Linked DNA regions of Sus scrofa. The main gene of each other region encodes a partner of the protein of the gene in region 7 in a complex. Links are inferred from orthologs where the notes say so. Each region holds a gene or a part of one and is shown on either strand. Other genes may lie near its edges. The genes, in order: EFTUD2, SRRM2, GPKOW, LSM3, SART1, LSM5 and SNRPD3.

What was found.
Region 1: SNRPD3 (region 7) and EFTUD2 share a complex: the UniProt entries of both Homo sapiens proteins name them as parts of the minor spliceosome. The link is inferred for Sus scrofa from reciprocal best matches to the Homo sapiens genes SNRPD3 and EFTUD2.
Region 2: SNRPD3 (region 7) and SRRM2 share a complex: the UniProt entries of both Homo sapiens proteins name them as parts of the minor spliceosome. The link is inferred for Sus scrofa from reciprocal best matches to the Homo sapiens genes SNRPD3 and SRRM2.
Region 3: SNRPD3 (region 7) and GPKOW share a complex: the UniProt entries of both Homo sapiens proteins name them as parts of the minor spliceosome. The link is inferred for Sus scrofa from reciprocal best matches to the Homo sapiens genes SNRPD3 and GPKOW.
Region 4: SNRPD3 (region 7) and LSM3 share a complex: the UniProt entries of both Homo sapiens proteins name them as parts of the U4/U6-U5 tri-snRNP complex. The link is inferred for Sus scrofa from reciprocal best matches to the Homo sapiens genes SNRPD3 and LSM3.
Region 5: SNRPD3 (region 7) and SART1 share a complex: the UniProt entries of both Homo sapiens proteins name them as parts of the U4/U6-U5 tri-snRNP complex. The link is inferred for Sus scrofa from reciprocal best matches to the Homo sapiens genes SNRPD3 and SART1.
Region 6: SNRPD3 (region 7) and LSM5 share a complex: the UniProt entries of both Homo sapiens proteins name them as parts of the U4/U6-U5 tri-snRNP complex. The link is inferred for Sus scrofa from reciprocal best matches to the Homo sapiens genes SNRPD3 and LSM5.

The regions. Positions count from the first base shown.
Region 1 is NC_010454.4:18,508,746-18,512,407, reverse strand, and holds part of EFTUD2 (116 kDa U5 small nuclear ribonucleoprotein component), read right to left. Parts: intron 3,620-3,662; coding exon 3,518-3,619; intron 2,206-3,517; coding exon 2,123-2,205; intron 1,187-2,122; coding exon 1,100-1,186; intron 902-1,099; coding exon 775-901; intron 576-774; coding exon 488-575; intron 1-487. UniProt on the Homo sapiens protein: Required for pre-mRNA splicing as component of the spliceosome, including pre-catalytic, catalytic and post-catalytic spliceosomal complexes. Component of the U5 snRNP and the U4/U6-U5 tri-snRNP complex, a building block of the spliceosome.
Region 2 is NC_010445.4:39,288,998-39,292,659, forward strand, and holds part of SRRM2 (serine/arginine repetitive matrix protein 2), read left to right. Parts: coding exon 1-1,702; intron 1,703-1,718; exon of another isoform or gene 1,719-1,910; coding exon of another isoform or gene 1,911-2,029; intron 2,030-2,401; coding exon 2,402-2,686; intron 2,687-3,662. UniProt on the Homo sapiens protein: Required for pre-mRNA splicing as component of the spliceosome. As a component of the minor spliceosome, involved in the splicing of U12-type introns in pre-mRNAs.
Region 3 is NC_010461.5:43,188,898-43,193,024, forward strand, and holds the start of GPKOW (G patch domain and KOW motifs-containing protein), read right to left. Parts: upstream 2,942-4,127; 5' UTR 2,883-2,941; coding exon 2,751-2,882; intron 2,678-2,750; exon of another isoform or gene 2,525-2,677; intron 2,030-2,524; coding exon 1,883-2,029; intron 1-1,882. UniProt on the Homo sapiens protein: RNA-binding protein involved in pre-mRNA splicing. As a component of the minor spliceosome, involved in the splicing of U12-type introns in pre-mRNAs.
Region 4 is NC_010455.5:70,345,819-70,350,067, forward strand, and holds the start of LSM3 (U6 snRNA-associated Sm-like protein LSm3), read right to left. Parts: upstream 2,863-4,249; 5' UTR 2,806-2,862; coding exon 2,785-2,805; intron 725-2,784; coding exon 614-724; intron 1-613. Other genes in the region: XPC (DNA repair protein complementing XP-C cells), read left to right, coding at 3,118-3,220, 3,514-3,657. UniProt on the Homo sapiens protein: Plays a role in pre-mRNA splicing as component of the U4/U6-U5 tri-snRNP complex that is involved in spliceosome assembly, and as component of the precatalytic spliceosome (spliceosome B complex).
Region 5 is NC_010444.4:6,370,426-6,374,636, reverse strand, and holds the start of SART1 (U4/U6.U5 tri-snRNP-associated protein 1), read left to right. Parts: upstream 1-1,294; 5' UTR 1,295-1,391; coding exon 1,392-1,704; intron 1,705-3,763; coding exon 3,764-3,821; intron 3,822-4,208; coding exon 4,209-4,211. UniProt on the Homo sapiens protein: Plays a role in mRNA splicing as a component of the U4/U6-U5 tri-snRNP, one of the building blocks of the spliceosome. May also bind to DNA.
Region 6 is NC_010460.4:40,750,963-40,755,206, reverse strand, and holds the start of LSM5 (U6 snRNA-associated Sm-like protein LSm5), read right to left. Parts: upstream 2,818-4,244; 5' UTR 2,725-2,817; coding exon 2,679-2,724; intron 2,668-2,678; exon of another isoform or gene 1,791-2,667; intron 1,676-1,790; coding exon 1,580-1,675; intron 745-1,579; coding exon 717-744; intron 14-716; coding exon 1-13. UniProt on the Homo sapiens protein: Plays a role in pre-mRNA splicing as component of the U4/U6-U5 tri-snRNP complex that is involved in spliceosome assembly, and as component of the precatalytic spliceosome (spliceosome B complex).
Region 7 is NC_010456.5:49,595,360-49,598,550, reverse strand, and holds the end of SNRPD3 (small nuclear ribonucleoprotein Sm D3), read right to left. Parts: intron 2,700-3,191; coding exon 2,507-2,699; intron 769-2,506; coding exon 707-768; 3' UTR 536-706; downstream 1-535. UniProt on the Homo sapiens protein: Plays a role in pre-mRNA splicing as a core component of the spliceosomal U1, U2, U4 and U5 small nuclear ribonucleoproteins (snRNPs), the building blocks of the spliceosome.

The DNA.
Region 1 (3,662 bases), on a different chromosome or scaffold from region 7:
ACTGCGCCACGACGGGAATTCCTCTTTGTCTTTTTAGGGCTGCACCTGCAGCATATGGAAGTTCCCAAGCTAGAGGTCGAATCGAGCTATAGCCACTGGCCTACACCACAGCTCATGGCAATGTGGGATCCTTAACCCACTGAGCGAGGCCAGGGATTGAACCCTCATCCTCATGGATATTCATCAGGTTTGTTACTGCTAAGCCACTAGGGGAACTCGCCCATCTTCCTCTTGATACCCTTCCTCAAACACATCCCAGAAATGAGGAGCAAATGTCAAACTAGAGATGACGTCCATTTCTAGGAGGTACCAAGCGGCAGCAGGATAGGGAAGGAGAGGAAGCTGGCCCAGGACGTGGACTGGCCCTGTATGCCCCAAGCCACTTCTCCTGCCAGGTCCCAGAGATGAGCCCAGCCCACTACAGAGCCCCAGGTGCAAGGACCCTAGGGGACTGGGGTGGAGAAGGCAGAGGCGCTAGAGGACTTACACTCGTCACAGAGGGGCCCCTCCCTAGTTCCCCACTGGAAACCTTGAACGATGCTGTCCTTCACCGAGCCGAGAAGAGCCTTGTCCACCTGCACAAAACACGAGGGCCCTTCAGCAGTGACCCTGGCAACAGCCAAAGAGTTTAGAGGGAGGAGTGGGCAGGCACACCAGTCAAAGGGCACTCTCCTTCACCGGAAGATGCCGGATGCTCTCGGGGAAAGAACACCTTGTAGCTTCTCCCACTCGAGAGCTAGGAGACCGACGCGGCTCCCACCGCTCCCGCCGTACCTCAGAGGGCAGGGTGTCATCCACCAGGATGTTGGGGCCAGTGGCATCAGGGCCAAAAGCCCAGATGGAACGGGCAGCCAGCAGATCCCAGTCGTACTTGGTCTGGAAGAACTCGCCCAGCTTCTTCCTGGGGGAGGGAGGGGCCCGGGATGTCAGACAGTTCCGGGATTCACGGCTCCTCCACGGCTCTAGTCACCACAGCCTCGCCACACTGCACCCAGGACCGCAGAGAAGAGGAGGAGACCACACCGCTCCCAAGAGCGACGCGCTGTGGCGGAGAGCCCGCGGGGAAGCTGTCAGCGCGGGAACCCGAGCCCGTTCTCACCTGTTCCATGTGATCTGCACCACCTCGTTCTCTATGTCCTCGGCCAGGCCCTTCTCAAGGGGCTCAGCAATCATGGTGATCTTGTTCCTAGTCAGAAAGGACGTGGGTAACGAGGAGGGTCGCAGGACTATGGGAAGGGACGTTCTTAAGAAAAGGGGCACCGGAGTTCCCCTCGTGGCTCAGGGGTAACAAACCCGACTAGTAAGCAGGAGGATGCGGGTTCGAACCCTGGTCCTGCTCAGTGGGTTAAGGACCTGGCGCTGCCATGAGCTGTGGTGTAGGTCACAGATGAGGCTTAGATCCTGTGTGGCTGTGGCTGTGGTGTAGGCTGGCAGCCACAGCTTCAATTTGACTCCTAGACTATATGGGAGCTTCCATATACCATGGGTGCTGCCCTAAAAAGACAAAAGAAAAAAAAAGGGTGACAAAGGGAAGAGCTAAGGCAGTGACATCACTGAAAGCCACAGGGGCAGAGTTGGGCCAAAAGGACTCATCTTCTGTCTTCTGGGTTTTTTTGCCATGCCTACAGCATGCAGAAGTTTCGGAGCCAGGGATCAAACCCGTGCCATGGCAGTGACCTCAGAGCCACAGCAGTGACAATGCTGGATTTTTAACCTGCTGTACCACCAGGGCATTCCCCTGTCTTCTTTCATTTGAATCCATCACTATTTTAAAAAGTAACGTTTGGGGCAAATTTATTTTTGAAAGCTTTGAAAAGCATTTGTATATTACACAGTAAAACAGTAGAGGTGCTGCTAGGGAAAATTTTAAGACAGTCATGTTACACAGGGAAAAATGGCAATAAGAAAACGCACCCTGGAAGTAACTAAGGCAAAAAATTCCACAGCATGGTGTCCAAAGGCACAAGGGATGAGAGGGCTGGGGTAAAACTCCAGGGACCTGAGCACCCACAGCCTATGACTTAGGGGTCTCTACTGCCACCTCGCTCGTGATTGGGATAGAGTTTTGGGGAGAGGAACATGTCCCCAGTGAGTCCCAGGGTCACTAGGACTCTTGGCTTACTTCTTATTGGGAGTTTCAGCAAAGCACTTGAGGGAGGACGTTTCCACTACTGTCTCACAAAACGTGACCACGGGGTCAGCCACCTGAGAAACAAAGCAGACTGTCAGGTTCCCTTGACACTAGCTCTGCGAGAACCCTCATCCTAGTCAGCATTAGTGACAAGCATGACAGCAGGCTAAAGGCTGTACCTTCACTAGGAAGCCTGGAAAACCTGGGTAGTGCAGAATTTATGTTCCTGAGCCACTGGAGGAGTAAATCAGAGACCCCCAGGGTATCTCTCAACATCCATCATTCACTGCACAACCATGGGTGTGTGGGAGCCAGCTTTGGAGGCTGGCAAGGGCCTGTTCCATCCTCCACCCAGGACTTCTGCGCAGCACAGCTTTCCCTTGAAGCCCCCATGTGGCCCGCTTCTGGGAGACCCAGGGTCTTCCACAGCACCAGTCCTGGGCCAAGAGGAGCACCTGAGGTCACTCGTTGCCACCACCACATGGCCTTGGAGAAAACGTGTGTGTCAACAAAGAGACTGAGGGGAGTTCTCACAGTGGCTCAGAGGTTAACGAATCCACCTAGCATCCATGAGGACACCGGTTCGATCCCTGGCCTTGCTCAGTGGGTTAAGGATCCGGTGTTGCCATGAGCTGCAGCGTAGGTTGCAGATGCGGCTCAGACCCTGTGTTGCTGTGGCTGTGGCTGTGGCCAGCAGCTGTAGTTCTGATTTGACCCCAGCCAGGGAACCTCCATGTGCTGCAGATGTGGCCCTAAAAAGCAAAAAATACAACAAAACAAAAAACAAAGAGACTGAGGGGCTACACCAAGACTTCACAATGAATCCAGAAGAGCCAGTTCCCACTCTCTGCTCGAAACCATCTACTCCAAGTCCTAATCACCACAGATGGGTTAACAGCACAACTCTTTTTTCCTTTTCTTTTTGGCCGCCCCATGGTGTGCATATGGAGTTCCCGGGCCAGGAATCAGATCTGAGCTGCAAGTGTGACCTACACCAAAGCTACAAGCAACACTGGATCCTTAACCCACTGTGCCGGGCCGGGGATCAAACCTGCATCCTGGCGCTGCAGCGATGCCACCAGTCCCGTTGTGCCACAATGGGAGCTCCATAATGGTGCAACTATTTTCTTAACAGAAGGCTACGAATAACTTTGGCTTGGGAACCCTGAATGTGAATGTAGGACACTGAGAATAACCCCCACTGAAGGGGAAAAACCAGGTCTGAACTTTTCCCACAGATGGACAACAGATCATGCTTTTCCCACACGCATCTCCTCCCCCAACAACCCCTCTCCCCTTGGACCTTCCTGGGGAATCAGGGCTTTAGTCACTTGTAAAATCAGTCTGGAGCTGTGAGCCAAGCTCCTGGCCGAGCAGCTGCTTTACCTTGATGTCTATCTCCGAGTACATCTTCCGCAAGTCGTGCATCACACAATCCAGGTAGAGCTCCCCAGTACCCAGAATCACGTGCTCGCCAGACTCTTCCACCTGAAACACAGCCACCCAGGCGGTCACAGGCTGGGCTCTCCTG
Region 2 (3,662 bases), on a different chromosome or scaffold from region 7:
CCTCTCAGATGACACGCCGTCGATCCAGGTCCCGAACTCCTCCAGCTATTCGTCGCCGCTCTCGGTCTAGAACCCCACTGTTGCCACGCAAGCGTTCTCGAAGCCGCTCCCCACTGGTTATTCGCCGCCGTTCTAGATCCCGTACTCCGCGTGCAGCTCGGGGCAAACGGTCCTTAACAAGATCTCCTCCAGCTATCCGCAGACGATCTGCATCTGGAAGTAGTTCTGATCGTTCTCGTTCTGCTACTCCTCCAGCAACAAGGAATCACTCTGGTTCTCGCACACCTCCGGTAGCTCTCAATAGCTCCAGGATGAGCTGCTTCAGTCGTCCTAGCATGTCACCAACTCCTCTGGACCGCTGTAGATCACCTGGAATGCTTGAACCCCTTGGCAGCTCTAGAACCCCCATGTCTGTCCTACAGCAAGCTGGGGGTTCTATGATGGATGGTCCAGGCCCCCGAATTCCTGATCACCCAAGAGCGTCTGTGCCAGAAAACCATGCGCAGTCTAGGATTGCGCTTGCCCTGACAGCCATCAGTCTTGGCACTGCTCGGCCGCCTCCGTCCATGTCTGCGGCTGGTCTTGCTGCAAGAATGTCCCAGGTTCCAGCTCCAGTGCCTCTCATGAGTCTCAGAACAGCTCCAGCTGCCAACCTTGCCAGCAGGATCCCTGCAGCCTCTGCAGCAGCCATGAACCTGGCCAGCGCCAGGACACCTGCCATCCCAACAGCAGTGAACCTGGCCGACTCAAGAACCCCAGCTGCAGCAGCAGCCATGAACTTGGCCAGCCCCAGAACAGCCGTAGCACCTTCGGCCGTGAACCTGGCTGACCCTCGTACCCCCACAGCCTCAGCCGTGAACCTAGCAGGAGCCAGAACCCCAGCTGCTTTGGCAGCTTTGAGTCTCGCGGGCTCTGGCACACCCCCGACTACTGCAAACTATCCCTCCAGCTCCAGAACGCCCCAGGCTCCAGCCCCTGCAAACCTGGTGGGTCCTAGATCTGCACATGCCGCAGCCGTGAATATTGCCAGCTCAAGAACGCCTCCAGCCTTAGCCCCTGCAAACCTCACTAGTGCTAGAATGGCTCCAGCCTTGTCTGGTGCAAACCTCACCACCCCTCGAGTGCCCCTGTCTGCCTATGAGCGTGTTAGTGGCCGAGCCTCACCACCACTCCTTGACAGGGCCAGGTCCAGAACCCCACCATCAGCACCGAGCCAGTCTAGAATGACATCTGAGCGGGCTCCGTCTCCTGCCTCTAGAATGATCCAGGCTCCCTCACAGCCTGTTCTTTCTCTAGCTCAGGATCGGCCTAGGTCCCCCGTGCCATCGGCTTTTTCTGACCAGTCCCGATCTTTGCTTGCCCAGACCACCCCTATGACGGGGGCTCAGTCGCTTTCCTCTGGGACTGTGGCAAAGACCACGCCCTCTGCGGGTGACCACAATGGCATGCTCTCTGGCTCTGTCTCCGGGGCACCCCACCCGGAGGGTGGGGAACCAGCTGCCTCGTCGGGGGCCCAGCAGCCTTCCGCGTTGGCTGCCCTGCAGCCAGCAAAGGAGCGGCGGAGTTCGTCCTCCTCGTCCTCCTCTAGCTCGTCCTCGTCGTCGTCCTCGTCGTCATCCTCGTCGTCCTCCTCCTCCGGCTCCAGTTCTAGTGACTCGGAGGGCTCTAGCCTTCCCACTCAACCTGAGGTAGCGCTGAAGAGGTGAGGGGCTGTGGGAACTGCACGGGCAGGTTTTGGGGGTGGCTGGTGGGGTCGGGAGGGAGAAGCCCTGTGCAGAGGTTCTTGGCTCCTTGAGGAGGTATGGGGACCCTGACCCTTGAGCTCGGGGTAGAAGAGAATGCGGGGCGGGGGCGATGGTGGGAGGGGCGGGACAGGTGAAAGTCTCCGAAGCTCACTTCTCTAGAGGATAATGATGAGTTTTCCGTCTCTACAGAGGACAGAACTAGAGGAAATGGACTTAATTTTACAGCAGGAGGGATGGCAGTTAGACCTCAAGAGGAACTCCCTGGGCTGGAAGGATCTTCAGAGGTCATCCTATCCCTCTCCCTGCCTCCAGGCAGGCCGGCCCCCCCCCAGCCAACCCGCAAACACACAGGCCTCCCCGAGCTGCAAGCTGCGGGCTGCGGCTCTCCTCTCCGAGGACGACCACCCGGCTCGGCCTCCACACCTGAGCCCAGGGGCCTAATCCTCCATCAGGGACATTCTTGAGGTTTAACCTTGATCCCTTTTGCTGCGGGCCCCAGCCTGTTGCTCGCGTTAGCGGAGGTCACCGGCTCAGGCTTGCAGAGCTCCCGGGGCCGCTCGCAGGCACCCCTCCCCCACTGCCGTTCCTCCAGGCCAAGGAAGGTAGGGTTGGGGCTGGGGCAGCCTGTCTCCTTGTGACACCCTCTTCTCCCACAGGGTCCCCAGCCCCGCCCCAGCCCCGAAGGAGGCTGTTCGAGAGGGCCGTCCTCCAGAACCGACCCCAGCCAAGCGGAAGAGGCGGTCTAGCAGCTCTAGTTCCAGCTCCTCCTCGTCTTCCTCCTCCTCCTCGTCTTCCTCCTCCTCCTCTTCCTCCTCCTCTTCCTCCTCCTCTTCATCGTCCTCTTCCTCCTCTACTTCTTCCTCCCCCTCCCCTGCTAAGCCTGGCCCCCAGGCGTTGCCCAAACCTGCAAGCCCCAAGAAGCCACCCCCTGGCGAGAGGAGGTGAGTGCTGCCTTGCTTGAGGTGGAAGGGGTGGGCCGTGCCCCTGGGTGTGAGATCCCTGCCGGGCTGTCGAACTCGTCTGTGGTGTCTGGTTGTACGGGAGGAGTTGGGTTCTCCTCTCCCTGCTTGTGACTCTGTGGTGCCCTGTTCTGGCAGAGGGCTGCACCATCCGAGTGGGTGCTCAAGCCAGAACGGGGAAGTCCTAGGTTCCTTCCTCTCCCTGCCCCTGACGTGCAGCCTGGTCCCAGGGATTCTAGCCTTTAAGTGTCCCCGTTGCTACTGCCAGGGCTCTGGTCTGGCCACCGTCATCTTCTCCCGACTCTATCCACAGCCTCTTCCCTGTCTCCCTGCCTCCACGCCATTCTCTTCCACATGTAGCCAGAGGGATCTTTGTAAAAGCACATCTGGTTACTCCCTTCACTCCACAAATCCTTCCGGGACGCCCTGTGGCCTGCAGGATAAAGCCCCACCTCTGCGGGAATGGCGTGTGAGGCTCTGCACCAACTGGCCTTGCCTGCCCTGTGTTCTCCTCTCCTGCCCGCCCCCACACATGCCCTGTGCTCCAGCCACACTCGGCGCCTTGCAGTCTAAGGAGAACCCCATGCCTTTGGACATGCTGTTCCTCCTGCCTGGAATTCCCTTGTCCGCCTGGTGAACTCCTCGTTCTGCAAGACTCTGCTCAAACAGCACCTTCAAGAAGACTGCCCTGCCCCTCCCCTTCCCTCCCCTGCCCCGTGGCTCCCTGTCCTGGGTCCCGAGACCCGCGTACACCGGTCCTGCGGGGCTGCTTCCCACACATGGGGCCAAGCGACCCTCTCTTGGCCTCCCTTCACCATCAGACTGAGCCCCTCCAAGGGCAGGGACTGTCTTTATCTTTGCCTCCCCCGCTGCACCCCGTGCCCTGCCTGTTGGGCACTCGGATGGTGTGTGGGCGGATGGGTGAGTGAGCGGATGGAGGTGGGTCTGAGGTTGGTCC
Region 3 (4,127 bases), on a different chromosome or scaffold from region 7:
GCACGTGTGAAAATTCTCAACCTCACTAATAATGAAAGCAATGCAAATAAATAAATAATGAAATGTTCTTCATTTAACTCATGGGTAAAGACCCCAAGCAAAAAAGTGCAAACACTTCTATGGTATGTTCTCTATGCCAGTTGCACATCTAAGCATTCCTTTCGTTCTCCAAAGGATTCTGTAAGGTAGGAACTATTTTTTTTTTTTGTCTTTTGTCCTTTGAGGGCTGCACCCGCCGCACATGGAGGTTCCAAGGCTAGGGGTCCAATCGGAGCTACAGCTGCTGGCCTACACCACAGCCACAGCAACGCCAGATCAGAGCCATGTCTGCGACCTACACCATAGCTCACAGCAACGCTGGAACCTTAACCCACTGAGGGAGGCCAGGGATTGAACCCGCAACCTCATCGTTCCTAGTCGGATTCATTACCGCTGCACCAGGATGGGAACTGCAGGTAGGGGCTATTTTAAAATCCATTTTACAGATAAGAGAACTTTGGTCCAGAGAGCCTAACTGGGCCGAGATCTAAAATAGTAAGTACTATGGATGATGCCCAAAGTTATTAAAGATGGAAGAAAATGGGGGAATTGTCCTGCTGCCGAGCAGGTTAAAGATCTGGTGTTGTCACTGCACCAGCTTGGGTCGCTGCTATACTTTGGGTTCAGTCCCTGTCCTGGGAATTTCCTCATGCTGCCAGTGCAGCCCCAAAAGAAAAAGAATAAGAAAAAAATGGGCACACTCATACACTGCTGATAAGGGCATAAATTGACTGAAAGTTTATCGGGGGCAGTATAATAATATATATCTCTTCCCTGATGCGATAACTCCATTTCAAAGAATGGATCTGAAGGAAAGAATGGAAAATTGGGGCAGGATGTTCTGTATGATAATGAGTGAATGTTAGTTATACTTTGGGTGTTTTTGGTTTTTTTTTTAGGGCTGCACTCACGGCATATGGAAGTTCCTAGGCTAGGGGTCGAACTGGACCTGAAGCTGCCGGCCTATGCCACAGCCACAGCAACCCAGGATGCCAGCCACGGCTGTGACCTGCACCAGAGCTCACAACAACTCCGGATCCTTAACCCAGTGAGCGAGGCCAGGGATCGAACCCACATCCTCATGGATACCAGTCAGGTACCTTGAGCCACGAGGGAACTGTTATACTTTGATTACAGATGTTTTAAAATTCTTCATGGCTCAACAGGGAACAATAGTTACAATATTTCATTAAATAGAAAAATCAGGAGTTCCCATCCTGGCTTGGTGGAAATGAATCTGACTAACATCCATGAGGACACAGGTTCCATCCCTAGCCTTGCTCAGTGGGTTAAGGATCCAGCGTTGCCATGAGCTGTGGTGTAGGTCGCAGATGCGGCTCCTATCTGGCGTTGCTGTGGCTGTGGCATAGGCCAGCAGCTACAGCTCTGATTCTACCCCTAGCCTGGAAACCTCCATACCATATGCCCTGGGTGTGGCCGTAAAAGAAAAAAAAAAAAAAGGTGGAAAAGAAAAATCAGTTTGAAGTGTAGGTAGGGGATATCTGGGAAATTAATAATATTCTCTATTTATTTATTTAGCTTTTTAAGGCCGCACCGGAGGCATATGGAAGTTCCCAGATTAGGGGTCAAATCGGAGCTACAACTGCGGGTCTACCCTACAGCCACAGCAACGCCAGATCCAATAGCCGTCCTCTGTGTCACCTCCCAGAGGAATATTATAGGCTAAATCCCAGACCCCTCAACACCGCCGAGCCTCGTCCTCCCAACTCACACTCACTCGCTGGCCCCACCCAGGGCAGTAACTAACAATCCCAGGCCCGCCCCCCCAGAACCCGGCTCCGCTCCGACCACGCCCTCTGGACGCCCCGCCCCTGTCACGCACCCTCCTTGGGGCGCAGGCGCAAAGTGGCGCCCGCCCTGCGTACCAGCGCCGCCACGTCCGCCGCAGCTCGGGCCGCCAGGGGGCGCGCGTCCAGCCGCGCCAGCCGCTCCCGGGCGCTGGGGCCCGCGCGCGGAGGAAGGCCACCGCCTGGCGAACGGAAAGGGCAGATCAACGCCCACCTTCAGTCTCAGCGAGCCCCCACGCCCCCCGATGACCGAAGACCTAGAGTGGCCATCAAGATCCCGGAGACCCGGGACCACTCTTCCACAGTTGCGAAGGTCACCGACTGTCCCTCGCTTGCCCGTGGACCCCGCCTGCCCCCAAGATATCTCTGGACTTAGCTGTTTAACCCCAGTATTCCCGGACCCCTCCGAACACCCTGTGGGCATCTCTGGAGGTGTCCTACTGCCCCCTCCCCCAACTGCCGCCAGAATCCCAGATCCCAAACTCTTCCCCGCCAGCATCGAGAAGGATCCCGACTCTCCCAGAGGTCCCGACAGAACACGGTCCGGCCCCTGTGGCCCCGGCACCCCCGGTTCCCCTCTAGATAGCCTAGGTACCCCTGCCGGCCCACGTAGCCCCGGATTGCCCCTTCCCATATCCTCGCAGGGCCCTGCCTAACCCCCGGAGGCCACCACAGACCCTGCCCGAGTGCCCAGGTGTGTCCAGTGACCCCGGGCAGACCCCCTCCTGCACCTCTCCCCGGACCCTCCTGAGAGCCCCCGGGTCTGGTGCACCGCTTCGCAGCGCGGGTGCGGGTAGGGGGCCCAGAGCCCAGCCCGGGTCGCTGGGGCCCTGCCCTCTATCGCCGCCGCCGCCGCCACGGCCGCCGCCGCCCCTTGGGCGCCAGGGCTGCCTTGTTTACCACCTGCCAGAAGGAAAAGGTGACGAGCAGACAGGCGGGGCGAGGGCTGGCAGGGACGCGTCCACTCGCTCCCGTTCGCCCCGTACCTCCTCCGCTCCCCCTAGGGTCTGTGGCGCCCCCCGCGCGCGGCTCCATGACCTGTGCTCGGCCCGCTGGACGCACGGACGCCAGTGGCGTGTTGGGAGCGCCTGGGCGAGCTCACCTGGCCGCCTGCCCGGGCCTGGACGCGGCTGAGGCCGGCCGGTCCCGTGCTCAGGCGCCCCAAGCAGCGCGGTGACCTACCTGGCGGCCCGCAAGGAGGCCTGGCCCAGGGAGGGAGCCCGCGCGAGCCCTTGGCCTCGCTCTGCCGCAGGCGCTGCCTCTCTTTCCCAGCACCGTGGGAAACCTCTTTTCCACCCCGGGGATGTCGTCATTCCACGTGGGAGAGGGGGACGTCGAGGCCCAGAGACGTTCAGGGCCCCTCCTGCGCTCTGACAACTGGAAACTGGATGCGGACCCCGAACCCACGTTACCCAGGGTATTCTGCAGCCTCCAGCAGAGCTTTGCACATCGTAGGCACTCAGTAAATTGGCGGGGAATGTGGGGCTGGGGGGGAGGGTGACCTCGGAGGCTTGGGGGGCCACGGGAGGGAGGCGTCAGGGCCCTGAGCATGATAGGGTTGGGGGATTCCAAAGGTAGGGAAGGGTGGGTCTCCTGGAGAGTGGAGGGACAGTAGGGGGCTGGACTCGAGGAGGCTTTCAAGGCACGTGGGTGGAGGGGACCCCAGGCAATGAGAGGGGAGAGAGGAGGCCCGTCCTAGGTCTGAAAGGGGGTGGGGGTGAGGGGCTCTGGAGACAAAGGCCCCGAGGGGGGAATGCTTGGGCACAGTGGTCCTGTAGTGGAAGCAGGAAGGAGGAATGGGGAGCAGGGAGAGAAGGCCTGTGGCCACCACTTTGTGGAGGAAGAAGCTGAGGGCGGGAGGGACCCAGGGCCCCTCCTCAGCCAAGGGCAGTGTGGGTCTCAGGCCCTTCACCCCCGACAGTCCCTTGGCCCAGTTACTATGTCACCATGGGCTGTGGACGGGCACACTGTGTCCTGGTGTCCATCCTGGCTGGCTGGGCCACCTCTCGCTCCCTCCTTTCAGGGTCCTGGCGGTCCTTGTCGGTGACATGGCTGAATGGTCCCTGCTTTCATTCTTCCTTCGACCCCATGCGCCTCCCATCTCGGACCTGCCCTTGTCTGAGGGGGACACACTGGACCCCCTTCACTGCTCTGCCCTGTTCTTGTGACCCCATGGGGCTTTCGAAGTTCCCCAGCTATGCCCACTGTCATTCCACCTCCCTGCCTTTGCCCATGCTCTTCCCTCTTCCTAGCAGACCCTTCACAGCCTCTATGATTATT
Region 4 (4,249 bases), on a different chromosome or scaffold from region 7:
AGTAAGCAACACTGCAGCCTCGCCAGAACTAGCTGTTTGGCACATGTGGGCTCGATCAACAAGTACTGCAACTCAGACATTCAGAACTCAAAAGTATAGCATGATCCCATTCATTTTTTAGAGAGGGTGTATACAGTGTAAATATATACATATAGACACATATTCATGTATATCTGTTCTGTGTAAATATACAGAAAAGATCTGAAAGACTATAGACCCAATAGAAGAAATAGGATTTCACCTTTTACTCTACGTATTCCTGTGTAAAATTTTTCACAAGAAAACGCAAATTTATATGCATGTCAGTAATTTAAAGAACATTTAAATAAGAATGGAGGACAAATAAATCTTATTTACAAATAAACAGAAAGGAAAAAATGAAAGAAATGAAAATGTTCTCTAGTAGACATATTTCCATTAAGAGAAAAATGTGTTAAACATATGAATAAAGTACAGTTCATTTGGTGTTTAGAAATACAGGTGACTTTCCACCTCCTCATCTATTCAAAACACTCTTTCACAGTGGACAGTTTTTACATTTCCAAGGGGTGGGGTTAGGGAGCAACATTGAGGAAATAATCTAATTTCAAGGTGATTTAATAAATTTACTCACATGTAACCTGCCTCGAAGCTCTCTGTCATTTCTCATTTTCACATAGATTCGCTCATCCAGGCTGAGTCTGATGAGATCCAGGGGCTCTTCTACAGTGTTGGTAGTTTGTTGCTGATAAAAGAAACAGGCTTAGTAATACAGTTCTAGAGAGTGAAGTTTCTGAACCAGCAGTGCCCTGTGTGACTGTGAGCAAGTTAGTTAACCCCTCTATGCCTCAGTCTACTAATTTTTAAAATGTGTGTAACAGGAATGCCTACCTAATACTACTGTTGTGAGGCTTAAAATACATATATGAAGGCTTAGAACAGTGCCTAGCGTATATTAAGTGCTGGATAAATGAGGGCTGAAACATACCTACACAGAAAGGAGCTGTACAACAAAATAATCATGACTGCACTCTCTTCTCTCAAAATCCAAACTGTCTGACCCCATTTCAGGGTATAGGGAGTTACTGTCTCAGGGTCTTCATCTTTCTTTCATGTTATCATTTAGCAATTGGAAGAACATACACAATGACTACCACATACTAAGTGGAGATGAATGTTTGAGGAAAGATTATGAGTGCAGTGCAGGAGAGGCTGAGTTTAGGGTGCCATCTGGCCAGTAAGATGATTATATTTAGCAGGCAGTATAGAAAAATACTGGTTGAAAGCACTGGCTTTGGAGTCAGGCAGTGTGGGTTCAACCCCTGACTTTGACATTCATGAACTGGGTTTAAAAACCATCTCTAATTCTGTTTCCTTGTTTACAAAATGAGGAAGCCACAATCTTCCCTTCATGAAGATGGCTAGGATGACTGGGGTCCATGTGGAAGGGATGGTTGAAGGGAAGGGTGAGTTGATAAGATTATTTAAGGAGAGCTGCTTCGGGGATTACATAGGGTCATTGGAGGAAGGTGACTGAATGTTACAGTCTCTATAGCCTTAAAGGGCTAGATGCAAAAAAGAGAAAGGAAATCCTGACCTCAACTGCTTCCATCTCCAGATCAACAGATGTTTGTTAAAGACCAGCTAGCCAGTTACTAGATCAGTGATACAGGAGTCAGTCCCTACCCTCAAGGAGTTCATTCTAGTGGAGAAAGGCATATAAGTAAGTAATCATAATACTGTAAGAATATATACATGACAGAGACCTACCTCCCACTGTCCATCCTTTTTATCCTGTAGCTTTAAGTACTGCCTTTTCAAAAGGCCTCCCAGACCATCCAATTAATTCACTCAATGAATATTTGTTGAGTGTTTCCAGCACTGTTCTAAACCCAGAATAGTGAACAAAACAAGACTCTTGCTCTCAAGGGACTCACATTCTAGCTGGGGGAGACAGACATTAAACAAGGAACCATATACTCAATATGAACAAAGAACATGCTATGAGGAAAAATAAGGCAGACTGGGAGAGTGCATTTTATGCAGGTGGCCAGAGACCTATTCTTTGATATGAGGTGAGATTTCAGTAAACAGCTGAAGCTGCGGCCTAATCCACAAAAACATCTGAAGAAGAGCATTTGGAGAAGACGGGACAGCAGGTGAGAAAGCCTGAAGGACCATCAGTTATTCTAAATACCAGCTCCCTGTCTCCTGCCTACCACATCACAGTTTCCATATGTTTCGCATATTTATGTTTACTTGTTATCTGTGCTCCCTCGAATATAAGCCCCAAGTTGGGCAGGTATCTCCCAAGTCAATGCCGATGTCCCTGGTATTTAGAAAGGTTTCTAACTATACAAAGGTGATACTCACTAGTGTTTGTAGACCCTGTAATCATTGTTGCGCTCAGTAATGACAATAACCCACTAAATGTTTTATTAGCCTTTCTATCAGAATCCCGAGAGCTCCGTGAGGCAGGCAAGGATAATGGTTCTCATTCTACAAATCAACGTGAGACTCAAGAGAAAGGAAGTGAGAAGAGTGAGGAATAACTAATTTTCAGGAGGGTTTTGAACAACAAAGGTCTCAGGGCCTGAGGCAAAATTCGGAGGGGGCGCGGTTAACCAAGAGGCAGGTTAAGGCCGTGATGACCCAGAAAGAGGCGGCGTGACAGGCCACTTTCTCGTGAGTTTGGGAAAAGCAACCCTGAGCTTGGGGAAAACAACCCTGGTAAACAAAGCTGGGCACACCCTGGCCTGGACAGGGAGAAGCCGCCCCAGAGCGAACTCTTCAGAAGATACTCACCTGGTCCACGTCGTCCGCCATGTTTCAAACCCTGCGCCCTTTCCGTCCTCTCGCGAGGGCACGAGAGCTGCTCCCTATGCCCACCCCAGTCTCCGGAAACGTGAGGACTCTATGCACTGGAAGTAGAAAGAGGTTGGTTTTACAGCTTCTTGCTTCCTGCAGCTTGCATTGGTCCCTTTGAGGCTGGGGCGGAGCTTCAGCCTGGGCGCAGGCGGGAATCTACCGGAGGGGGCGTGACCAGGCCCTGCACCGCCTGGGGGCGGGGCCGCGCGCGAGCTGCGTCCCGCGGAGACGCGGTGCGTCACGCTCTAGGCGAGTCTTGCCCGGGCAGAGATGGCTCCAAAGCGCTCGGCGGGCAGGGCGCCGCGGGGGCGCAAACTGCGCGGCCAGAAGGCCAAGGGCGAGGGCAAAGCCCGGCGCGAGGAGAAGGAGGCGGGTATGAGCCAGGCTGAGTTGGGGTTGGTAGGGAGGGTGGAAGAGGTTTGGGTGGGGGTAGCAGGAGGCCGGCTTCCTGGAGGTGTGAGCGAGGCATCCTCCCTCCCACCTGCGCTGGGGGCGGTGTTCCGGAGGCCTAGGGAGGCTGGGGGTGTGCACGTGCCCAGGTGCTCCCCGGCGGCCCTGCGCCTTTGCTCTCCTGGCCAGAGGTGATGCGCCCTGAGACGTTCCGCTAGAGCCCAGCCGACCGCGAGTTCCTCTGCGTAGCCTCTTTCTGCTCCTTTTCGCCCCCAGGATGCAGGCGGAAGCAGGGGGCTGAATATGTGAAAGGTACTGCTATTATGTTGTGTCGCCACGAGACGAAGGGACCAAGACTTAGAGTGCTGTGGTGTGTGGAGAGTCCCAGATTTGGATCCCACCTGACAACGTGCATATCGAGTAGGCTGCTTATATTTGTCATGCGCAAAGCAAAACACTTGATTTCCCCTTTAAACCTATCCCTTTCTTACTTTTACCCCATATCAGTCTTTGACCCCTTCATCACTTGTTAAAACAAACTCCTTTTCCCTCCAACACACATCCAGTCCTTCAGAAAGCAAATCCTATCAGTTTAACCTCAAAACCATATCTCAAATCTCTCCACTTCTCTGTTTCCATGGCCACATACCCTGTCGAAACCACCATCACTTTTCAGTTGAACGACTGCAGTTGCCTCTCTACGGGTCTCCCTACTTCTTTTCATCCCCCTGGAGGAGTTTTCTGTGCTGCAGCGCAAAGTACCTTAAAAAAAAAAAATCTGATTTTGCCATGCTCCCACTTCAGACTCTCTGTGTCTTCCCATTGGCATAACAGCCTCCAGATTCCTCACCTTGGCCTACAAGACCCTGTATGATCTGGCTGCTGCTGCCTCTCCTGTTGTCTCTTCCTAGTCTTCTTTGCCAGGTACCTTCCTTCTTGGCCTCCTCACACACACCATGTGATTCCTCACCTGAGCCTCTGCCTAGAATATTTTTCCATGGCTTTGCTGTAG
Region 5 (4,211 bases), on a different chromosome or scaffold from region 7:
ATTAAATGCTTTGTGGAAAATAGTGTGAGATTTCTGGTGGTGGGAAGGGGCTGCGTGTTGGGAGCTGGCGGTGGCAGGTGGGTTTGCAGCAGGCTTTCCCCACATCCCAGAGGAACTCTGGCTGTTCTGGCTGCCCCCTCCCTGTGCACAGCTCTGCCTCTGCTCCTGAGGTGTGAGCATGGCATCTCCAAGAGCAACAGCGGCAACTTGCCCTAGAAATGCTGGGTCCTAGAAAGTCAAGAGTGAATAGGACAGAATGGCTTCTGCCTTTGGGAACTCCCAGTTCTGGGGGGGAGGAAAGCGGAACTTTAAAGGGGAGCATAATCACAGACAGATGGGCCTCCAGATGGGGCAACTGGGAGGTGAGGGGTGTCAGGAGGGATGGAGAGATTGTGTGAACAGAGTTTTTGTTGTTGTTGTTTATTTGGCTGTGCCTGTGGCATGCGAGAGTTCCTGGGTCAGGAATTGAACCCAAGCCACAGGAGTGACCCAAGTCGCTCCAGTGACAGTCCCGGATCTTTAGATCTTTAACTCGCTGCGCCATAGGAGAATTCCTGTGTAAACTGAGATTTTAGCTTCAAGCAACTTCAAGTTAGAGCTCCTCTCAAGAGGGAAAAAAAAAAAGCAGCAGCAGCTCCCGCGAGCGCGCTCTCTCTCTCTCTCTCTCACACACACACACACACACACACACACACACACACACACACACACACACCCCGATGTGCTAAATTTTGCGTTCGATTTCAGGGGTTCACAGGCATGCAAAGGCCCATCTCGAGCTCCGTAGCAGTCAAAGCGCACGTTAAAAAAACCCAATTCAGGGACCGTGGGAAGGCAGCGTTTGCAGACAATATTAGTTGTGGGGGCTGGGAGGAGGCTGGGTTGTGGAGCTGAGGGTCTCAGGAGCAGAACGTGCTCCGTCCTCCTACACCTGATCGGCCACGACCCCAGGGAGTCTACTAGGAGGACTTCTGCTGGAGCGGCGGGCGCTGCAGTGAGCATCCCGTGGCTGAGGGTGTGCAAGCGGAGGGAAGCCAGGGAGGCCATGCTGGCTTAGATGGGCCCTAGGTCCTTCAAATTCTGGGATACGGTCTTCCCCGGACTCGAACGCGCCCCTCAAGCTTGAGCGCACGCGCAATCCGACCACTATGTCAAAGACCGCCGCTCGGCCAGTGCCGGCCGCGAATGCGCAGTCGGGCCCGATCCCAGCCTTCCCATGAGCCTTTGGGGCAGCTCCGAGGCAAAGGACGGAAGCAGCCGCTCTTGGTTTCCGGCAACGCGACGGCGCAGCCGGGCCCGACCCGGAAGTGTTCCCATTTTGCGCCGTCGGGGCTCGGCGGCGGCGGTGGCGGCGGCGGCGGCGGCGGCGGGGCTCGGGTGGACCTACCACCATGGGGTCGTCAAAGAAGCACCGCGGGGAGAAGGAGGCGGCCGGGACTACGGCAGGAGCGAGCACCGGGAGCGCCACCGAGCAGCCGCCTCGGCACCGGGAGCACAAAAAACACAAGCACCGGAGCAGCGGCGGCGGCAGCAGCGGTGGCGAACGACGAAAGCGGAGCCGGGAGCGTGGGAGCGAGCGCGGGAGCGGGCGGCGCGGGGCCGAAGCGGAGGCCCGCAGCAGCACGCACGGGCGGGAGCGTAGCCAGACAGAGCCCTCCGAGCGCCGCGTGAAGCGGGAGAAGCGAGATGAAGGCTACGAGGCCGGTGAGGGGCGGGGCCTGGGCAGGGGGCGGGGCGATGGGGAGGGTCTCAGGGTGGAGGGCCTCGGGGATGGAAGCCAAGCCCACAGGCCCAGCCATCCCCAGGCCCGTCGTCAGCGCATTTGGAAGGGTCTTGTTTTGATTATTTGGGATTAAGGGTTGGCTTTCTCTGCTAAACTCCGTGAAGGTGGAGATTTTCTCTGTTTTCCTTAACTGACACATCACAGGCACTCGCTAAATGTGTCGAGTGAACGCATGGAGTGGTACCATCGTGTGTAGAGGCAGGAGGACACCTGGTATTGGGCAGGTTATGTAGAGCTCATAGCAGAGACATGAGGCAGGGGTCCGAACACAGAGGCTCCTGCAAGCCTGTTAAGATAATTGAATTTTGTTGGCGTTCCCGTCCTGGCGCAGCGGAAACGAATCCGACTAGGAACCATGAGGTTGTGGGTTCGACCCCTGGCCTGGCTCAGTGGGTTAAGGATCCTGCACTGTCTTGAGCTGTGGTGTAGGTCACAGGTGCAACTCGGATCTGGCGTGGCTGTGGCGGTGGTGTAGGCCGGCAGCTGTAGCTCCAATTCGACCCTTAGCCTGGGAACCTCCATATGCCAGGGTGTGGCCCTGAGAAAACAAAAAACAAAAAATTTTGAACTTTGTTTCAAAAGTAATAGGGAGCCATGAATTCGAGCTGGGGAGCGAGTTAGTCGTATTCACGTTATCACAGAGAACACTGTGTTGAGAACTGGGTAAAGAGCAGTCAAGACCCATAGAGGAGGTAAGGACTGGCCATGGCTGGCACCAGGGCAGCAGCAGCGGGATGGAGAGTCGTTGACCCATTGGAGAGGTGTTTTGGAGGAGGAGGTGACAGAGCTTAAGCACTTGGATGACAGTGGGAAGGAGAAGAAGGAATTGAGGATGGTCCTTGGATTTTGGCTGGTGTGACCAGGTGGGTGGTAGTGTTGTCGACGGAAGTTGAGTTTGGAAGAGAAGCAGATTTTTTGGAGAGAGACAGTGAATTCAGTTTTGAGGAGTGTTGCATGAGGCACATGGGGAAACTCAGGGCTTGGGCAGGACAGAGCAGTTTGAGAGTCATAAGGGTTCAATGGCAAATGAAGTCCCTTGAGAGAGTGAGGATTGAGAAGCCAGGGTCGGGGGCAGAACCTCAGGAATGTCTACGTTTTAGTAGCAGGCGGAGCAAGATGGTACAAAAAAGGAGGTTGGATGTTCCCCAAAGCAAGAATACCATAGCATCTCATGTCATGGGATCTGTGGGCGTGATCAGTGGTGTCACACACCACAGGAGATGAGGCAAAACCAGAGTGGCAGAGAATCCATCGGATTTACAGACAAGGAGGCTGGCGACCTTGGAGCGAGCACGGAGGTGCTTGGGAGTCAGGGTCCAGGTGGGGTGGGAGGGAAAGACGTAGGTTGCGAGGTGGCCATGCTGGAGGGAGGAGCTCCAGCCGATGGCGTCCAGCTTCTGTGTGTGGCATTCTGTGTGTGACATTTGCTGTTTATGAGGTGGGTGAAAGAGCTCAGAAGCGCTGCTTTATTTCCTGTAGCATCCTCACAGCACAGGCGCCAGTAAGTGTATTTTTTGACTGTGTGAATTACACAGAGAGAACACAGATATGCTGCCAACATGGGCCCTGCCCTGTGAGCAAAAACAGACCTGGAGATGGCCGTGACCGTGCTGTGGAGTGCAGGGGAGAGGAGTTGGTGCTGATCAGGAATCAGGACTCCGGCCTCTGATTGTTGCGTTTGGATAGCATCTTGCTAATCAGAGTGAGGCCAGAGAGGGCCGTGTAGGTTGTAACAACAGAATACACAGAGGTGGAGAGGTGGCAGAGTGAAGGATGTGGCAGGTTGGACCTTTTGGATCAGAAGGTGTGTCGACAGCCTGGGAGTCAGGTAGGAGGAGCCCCTGGGATGGAGGAAGGCTGCTGTTCCCTGATGTCTCGGGGCAGATGGGGGACCCTCACCTTCAGCCCTGCGGCTGGAGCCAAGGAAGTGGCTTCTGGGCCCCGTGTTCAGCTCCTGAGCCTCTCTCTCTCTTGTTCCAGCTGCCAGCTCCAAGACTAGCTCGGGCGATGCCTCGTCACTCAGCATCGAGGAGACCAAGTGAGTACTGTCACCTTTATGCTACTGTGTCTTCTTCTGAGACGGGCAGCTTTGGGGGCAGCAGGTGGGTGAAGCTTTCTCATCGTAGAGCCTTCTGCTTGGGATTTGGAAGTGCCATAGAAACCATCTTAGCCAACGATTTGCATTACAGAAGTGGACACTCAGACCCAAGAGGAAGGATGGCATTTTCCTGGGTAGGGGCAGGCCAGGCCTTCCGCCTAATGCAGAGGCCAGTGCTCTTCTGAGCGCTGGGTCAGGCCCTCGGTTTGGGACCCTTCGACCCTCAGCCCCGTCCTGTTTTCACACTCCCCCCCCCATCTGTCCAGAAGTGCACTCGGTGCCCCCATTTCTTCGACGGCTTCTAACACGTCTATCTCTTGTTTTCAGTAA
Region 6 (4,244 bases), on a different chromosome or scaffold from region 7:
TGGTGTGATTTCACTAAACAGATTTTTTAAAAAGTCAGGATAAAAATAAAGAAAAAATTAAAACAAAACAAAAAGTCAGGATAAACAGTGATTGTCAAAGCCAACATTTTGATTCCCCCAAAAGGCTAATTATTATATATAAATGAAAACATGAGACAAAAGTTATCCATTGGTTTATTCTTCCCCACAGGGAATAGAGTTGACGGGCTCATCTAAGATCCACATCCACTAGGGCTGATCTTCACTTAAAAAGCTAAAACTTGCCTAGGAGATCAAATATGAAATAAAATGTTTACTATCCTCATTTTTTTTAACCATTCATTTGCTTCTGCTTCCTATCCATTATACCATTCTGTAATCAATTCAATTCTGAAAGCAGATCTACTACTGGTCACAATCTTTATAATTAATATAATTGAGCCATCATTTACATTTTCTATATTCAATTCAAAGTATTAAATACTTTTGATCTGAGCCCTAAGATCCCTCACTGCTTTTAGTGTCTTTTACCTTAAAGCTTTGTTTCCACTAATTTCCTAACAATTAAGGTAATAATCCTACAATCCAATTTTACTAACCTCAGTCATAAAATTTCTATGTTAGTGATTCAAACAGGCAGTGTTTTCTCATACATCATTTTACTGACTCAACAGTGCTACAACTGCCTTAAAGAGAGATTCCCCCTGCCCAATTCTTTAATTTTTAACACTACTCACAATTCAGTGACATCTTCCAGTACCATATCTGAAATTTGGTGTTAAGAAAATATATACCATGTTAAATTTACTCTGGCTTCTGTCTTTGTTCAGTTTTAATTATAACATTGGGAGTTCCCATCATGGCTCAGTGGTTAACAAATCCAACTAGGAACCATGAGGTTGCGGGTTCAATCCCTGGCCTTGCTCAGTGGGTTAAGGATCTGGCGTTGCCATGAGCTGTGGTGTAGGTCGAAGATGTGGCTTGGATACATCATTGCTGTGGCTCTGGCGTAGGCCAGCAGCTTACAGCTCCGATCAGACCCCTAGTCTGAGTACCTCCCTATGCCGAGGGAGCGGCCCTAGAAAAGGCAAAAAGACAAAAAATAAAAATAAAAAAATAACATTTAACATAATGACTCAAATTCAAATTGCTTGCGATTGGTAGGGGTACACACACCCCTTAAAACACTACCACGAATTCCATGAGAATAAATTAATTTTTATTATAATAATCAGTAAGCACTGACTATAGTTCTTACTTTTTTAAAAAAAACTGAAGATGGAGTTCCCGTCGTGGCGCAGTGGTTAACAAATCCGACTAGGAACCATGAGGTCGCGGGTTCCGTCCCTGGCCTTGCTCAGTGGGTTAAGGATCCGGCGTTGCCGTGAGCTGTGGTGTAGGTTTCAGATGCAGCTCGGATCCCGCTTTGCTGTGACTCTGGTGTAGGCCGGTGGCTACAGCTCCGATTCGACCCCTAGCCTGGGAACCTCCATATGCCATGGGAGCAGCCCTAGAAAAGACATAAAAAATAATAACAAAAAAAAATTTTTTTAATTAAAAAACAAAGAAAAACCCATACCCCCACTTTTTAAAAGGATACTGACAAAGTCATCAAATCCGAGAAGCGTGCCAACAATCTCTTTATCACTCTTCATCACAATGTGAATTCTTGATCCTATACACTTGTCTACAAGCTCTATAGATACAGGTTTTTTAAAAGAAAAATAAGTGGGGGGAGGGGTGAAAAAAATTATTTTGCACATTCATTACTTCAAGAAATATGTGAGTACTTACTGGCACTTATTACTTACATATGGTGAAAGATAAACCAAGAAAAGGATTCACTCAAAAACTTCAGGTCTCGGGAGTTCCCGTTGTGGCGCAGCAGAAACGAAGGCCAGCAGCTACAGTTCCAATGGGACCCCTAGCCTGGGAACCTCCATGTGCCTCGGGTGCGGGCCTAAAAAGAAACTTTTTTTTGTTCAATGAAGGAAAAAACTTTCCAATTACCGCCACGTCCACTAACTTAATTACCCTTCAGATACAAAATATTAGAAAAAGACATAACTGTCTTCCCCAGCCCCAAGACGGCTATCCTCTGTTCTCTGAGAGCAGCTTGAATATCTCTTCAGCAGAATTACTGTTACTTGGTATGATGTTTAATTGTCTGGCATCCTGTCTCCTGCGCTGGCATGAATGCTACCTGAAGCTAAGTTACGATGTCTAGTCTACAGATGCGCAAAAACTGTTTGTGGAATAAATGAATGACAATCAGAGCTAATTTCCAGTGTCCCCTTTTAAAGCTCATTGCAGACCCCGCTACCTCTCTCAATAACGGGCCAGACAGACAACAGGGTCTAACCTAGGGATTTTAAATGCCAGGTAGAAGAATGGGACTGCTATCCACTACTGTAAAGGCGAACTCACAACAAAAAAGGCCGACGACGCATTCACTAAGTGTGAACCTTTTCCAGTGACGGTTTGGTGTGAGAACTCAGAAAGTCCTGGCTCAAGAAAACCCTTCCACGCCGAAAAGACGCGGGCGGCCTGAGGCCTCAGAGCCTTAGAGCCCAAAGAGCCGCGGATAAAGAAAACAATTGGTCAGATACATTTCTCTAACACTCAGTCAAGGACTGCGCTGGCCCTCGGCCCGCAACCCTTCAGCTCCCCTCCCCAGCTCCCCACAGGACAACGATTACCTAGAGGTAGCAGCTGCGACGGGTTAGTCGTAGCGTTAGCCGCCATGGCTACGCCGGAAGTGGCCAGCCTCTACCGACGTTGGGAAGGCGAGTTTGAAAGAGCGCGCTTCCGCTTTTTTCCCCTAGCCCGGCCAGGCTCGACCAATCTGAGGCCGAGCGTGCGATCGGGCCAGTCCTACGTGAATCGCTCGGAGTCACTTCTTTCCTCCGCAACGAGATCCGGGGGAATACATCAGTGCGTTGAACATTCTGCGGCCTCAGCAGATACTTTGCCCTCCAAGTTTCCAAGACAAATTAAAGATATCTTGCCTTATAAATAAAATATTCCTCAACCTGGAAGACTGCAAAATAGAAACGTTTGAGTCGTTTGATTTTCCCTGGGTTATATTTCATTTCAACCAAGGATCTTCTGAAGACCAACATAAATATTTTTTCCGCCACTGATTTTATTGTGTTGCAATTTTTGTTAAAAAACAAAAGCAAAAACTTTTTTTTTTTACAGGAATCTACCGCTTTTTTTTTTTTTTTTTTTTTTTTTTTTCTTTTTAAGGCCACAGAGCAGATACATGGAAGTTCCCAAGCTAGGAGTCAAATCGAGCTGCAGCTGCCGGCCTAGCCACAGCCACAGCAATGTGGGTTTGAGCCGCAGCTCGCAGCAACAAGGGGATCCTTAATCCACTGAACGACCCCAGGAATCCAACACACGCTCAGGTATACTAGTTGGATTCTTAATCCTCTAAGCCACAAAGGAGAACTCCCTACCTTTTTTTTTTTTTTTTTTTTCTTTTCTTTTCTTTTCTAGGGCTGCACCTGCAGCATATGGAGGTTCCCAGGCTAGGGGTCTAATCGGAGCTGTTGCTGTCAGACTACGCCAGAACCACAGCAACTGCCAGATCCAAGCCACGTTTGCGACCTACACCACAACTCAGGCACAACGCCGGATCCTTAACCTACTGAGCGAGGCCAGGGATCGAACAGGCAACCTCATGGTTCCTAGTCGGATTCCTTAACCACTGAGCCACCACAGGAACTCCCCTACCTTCTTTTAAAGGTTCAGTGTAGGAGTTTCCATTGTGGCTCAGTGGTAAGGAACCCAACCAGTACCTGGGGACAGGGGATTGGATCCCTGGCCCCACACAATGGGCTAAGGATCCGGGGTTGTCATGAACTGCAATTGTAGGTCTCAGACGTGGCTGGGATCTGCTTTGCTGTGGCCTAGGCCAGAAGCTACAGCTACGATTTGATCCCCTAGCCTGGGAACCTCCATAGACTGCAGAGTGCGGCCCTAAAAAGACCAAAGGAAAAAAAGTTTGCAAACCCATAGCTAGCTTTAAAGAAATACTTTTCTGGGGGTTCCCCTCGTGGCTCAAAGGTAAGGAACTGGATTAGTATCCTTGAGGACAAGGGTTCAATCCCTGGCCTTGATAAGTGGATTAAGGACCTGGCCTTGCTCTGAGCGCTGGTGTGGGTCGCACAGGTGGCTCTGATACAGTGCGGCTGTGGCTGTAGGTAGGCCACAGCTACAGCTCCAATTCAACCCCTAGCCTGGGAACTTCTATATGCGTG
Region 7 (3,191 bases):
ATCCTTCCTACTCGGCACCCCAGTAGGACCTCTTTTTAGTGTGTGACCACTCCAAGCCATGGATCCAGTTTCTATGTTCTTGGTCAGCTACCTGCTCTGCACACCCTGACCTCTCTACTTACCTTCGCTATGTTAAGAACCTCAGCTGTGCCAGTCAACCCTGAGGTGCTCCGGTAAAGTGCCAAGAACCTGTCCCCTGTCATAACACTACATATGAAGCTGTACAGGAGTCTTGAGGTTCTCTGAACTACCTCTCGATACTGATTACTTTTTTGAATGCCACCAGGGTTTCACAGGCCAGGACCACGTGTGTCATGATGTTCACAAACACCGTGTAAGTGCCTGTGTCTAAGGATGGTGAGGCCATCTATGTTTTTGGAGCTGTTCCAAGGGCTTAACTAGCAACCAGCCTGGAACAGCAGCTTGCATTCGCTTATCAATAACCACTACTGGCATTTCCCCAGGACATCTCAGGGTGTCAAAGTTTAACCTGCTGCCAAAGCAAACAACAAAAAACTCCAAAAGGAACACAGTCTTTGTATCCTCAAAAAGAAAAAAAAAAAATTTATTTAGTGTAGCATTTCCCCTGATCTAAAGAAAAAGATGCCAAATAACCTAGGACATATACACCAGCACACACCTTCCTGCCTCACAACCAGATAACCTAAAGAAAACATGAGGGCAAAGTTCTGTCCAACAGATAAATTTATCTTCGCTTCTGGAAAATGTTTCCACGGCCCATTCCACGTCCTCTCCCTCTCGCAGCCACTGAAAGGTAAGGAAGAGGACAAGGCCAGGTCAGTGAGTCCTCCGCCAAGAGCAGCCAGCACCCCAAGACATCGGCCCAGGAAGGGGCTTGAAAGGCCACCCGGTCCAGCACCACGTCTGCCCTATCACATTTCATGGGGGTTGGGCATGGAGGAATGGAGACCCTGGGAGGAGACCAGTGTCTGGCATCAGAACTGGAAGGCCTCCCACCTTCCAACCCAGCACTGGTCCCCATGAGAGCCCAAGTCCTGAGAGCGAAGGTGTTTTATGAAGCCAGTCTAGGAACCACAGAGAAGCTTAAGTCTCAGAGCTGGCCCAGGGTGAGCTAATAAAACATGACAGATGCATTTAATTCACACTTAAAATTGTGAAACAAACATATTAAATGTTAACATCTATTGAATCTGGGTGAGGGTTTTTATTATTTTCTGAGCTATTTTGCATGTGTGAAATGTTTCATAATAGGAAGGAAAAAAACATAGACAAAAAACAAAAACCACTCCCCATATACAGGGCTCAACAAGACTGCTGTCTCTGTGACCCATGGGTTCTAGGAAGGGCCACTCCTTTGAAGAACAAGTGAAAATATCTGATGGCAACTAACTGCCCCCACCTCCTCTCATAGAGCCCGGAGCTGACCAGAAGAGGGAAGCCCTGTGAGAGCCTGGCCACTAGCTGGGAGGACCATAGCAAGGGGATGGGAGCGGCACAGAGGCTCAGGTGGCAGTCAGGGGGCCACTGCCAAGTGCCTCCCAGTGTCTTTTGCTAGGGAAGCTGGTACAGTTAGTGACAACGAGGGCAGCCCTCCCCTGCAGAGAGAACAGCAGTTCTAGCACAAAGCTGGCACTTCTGAAAATCACTGCTTCTTCAGGACAAAAGGTCCTGAGCTTCTAGTTCTATCTCCCTATGACCACTGCTCATCTAGGAAGGGCAAGGAGACTGTCTGATCAGCTTTCTGGAGGGCATTTTAAAGGATTACTCTGCTGGGTCTTTGAATTCAAAAGCTGCCTCACATAGAACAAATGTATAGCAGCTGAAGACAGTGAGGTGGGAATCCAGTGACCTTTCTGCACTGGAATCTTCTCATCAACACTAAGACTGCTCCTAATGACTGCACTGGCTTTCTTAGCTAATCAATAGGGGGAGCAGAGCTTTTCAGGACCCAAATATAAAACTGATTAGGCTAACCCAGAAAAAAGGTCAGACCAAGTAACCAGGAAGAGACTAGTCTTTCCAAATGCACTATAAAGGAAGGACTGTTTTCAAACATTAAGAAGCTTCAAAAATGTAAGTTCGGCCCCCTTTAATGAATGGGTAAAAAGATGGCTCACAATTCCTTCTCATCTGAAAATGGATTCCCTCCACATTTCCCCTATTGATGCTGGGAATCAGTAGACACCCCCAGCCTCTTGAGAAACTATTACCCCATTGCTTTTAGAAGTCACACTGCAAGGGGCCTCTGCTCAGCAAACTGGACCAGGGCCAACTTTCCCCAGAATTTCCAAAAACAAAAGGCCTCCAAGACTCATTACAGGACACATTTGCTCTTTCATTTAAGTCCTCATCTTTTTTCCAAGGAGCCGCCTGGGATTTTGCATAAGCCTGTGAACAGGATCAGGTGGCAGTGGGTGTGGAGACACTGAAGTCAGGTCACCCACACCTCAGCAATAACAAGGCCCATTCGTAAAAGGTACAGGACACACTCACATGTCACAACCAGTGCAAGAGGAGCACCTACCTTGGGCCTTCAGAATAGCAGCTTTTCCCCGACCGGCTCCTGAGCCTTGGTTTTTATTTTTCATGCTCTTTAACATGGGTGCGTTTTTCAGCATGTCAGGCAGAATCAGAAAGCGGATCTTGCTGCCACGGATATACACCTGCTCCAGCTGCGCCACTCGGCCGTCTCTGTATGTGACTGTGATGTTAGACATCTGGAAGGAATACCAGCTGGTGAGGAAGGGCCAACAGTGCCAGCAGAGAATAGTGCCCATGGAAGACAAACCTCGGCTAGTGGAAGGGGAGTCCAGAAATACAGAAACTGGCACCACAAAATAAAGCTGGGCAGACTCAAGGGCACCTACTGTGCTGAGCGCTTTACATATATGGTACTACTCATAGTAGCAGAGTCCCCTCCCTCCCTTTTTCTGTCTTTTTTAGGGCTGCACCCATGGCATATGGAGGTTCCCAGGCTAGGGGTTCAATCAGAGCTGTAGCCACTGGTCTACGTCACAGCCACAGCAACATCGGATCTGAGCCATGTCTGTGACCTACATCAGAGCTCACAGCAACATTAGATCCTTAACCCACTAAGCGAAGCCAGGGACTGAACCTGTGTCCTCATGGATGCTGGTCAGATTCGTTTCTACTAAGCCATAAATGGAACTCTGAGAAGTCCCATTTTTAAACATAAAACGCAGGGACTC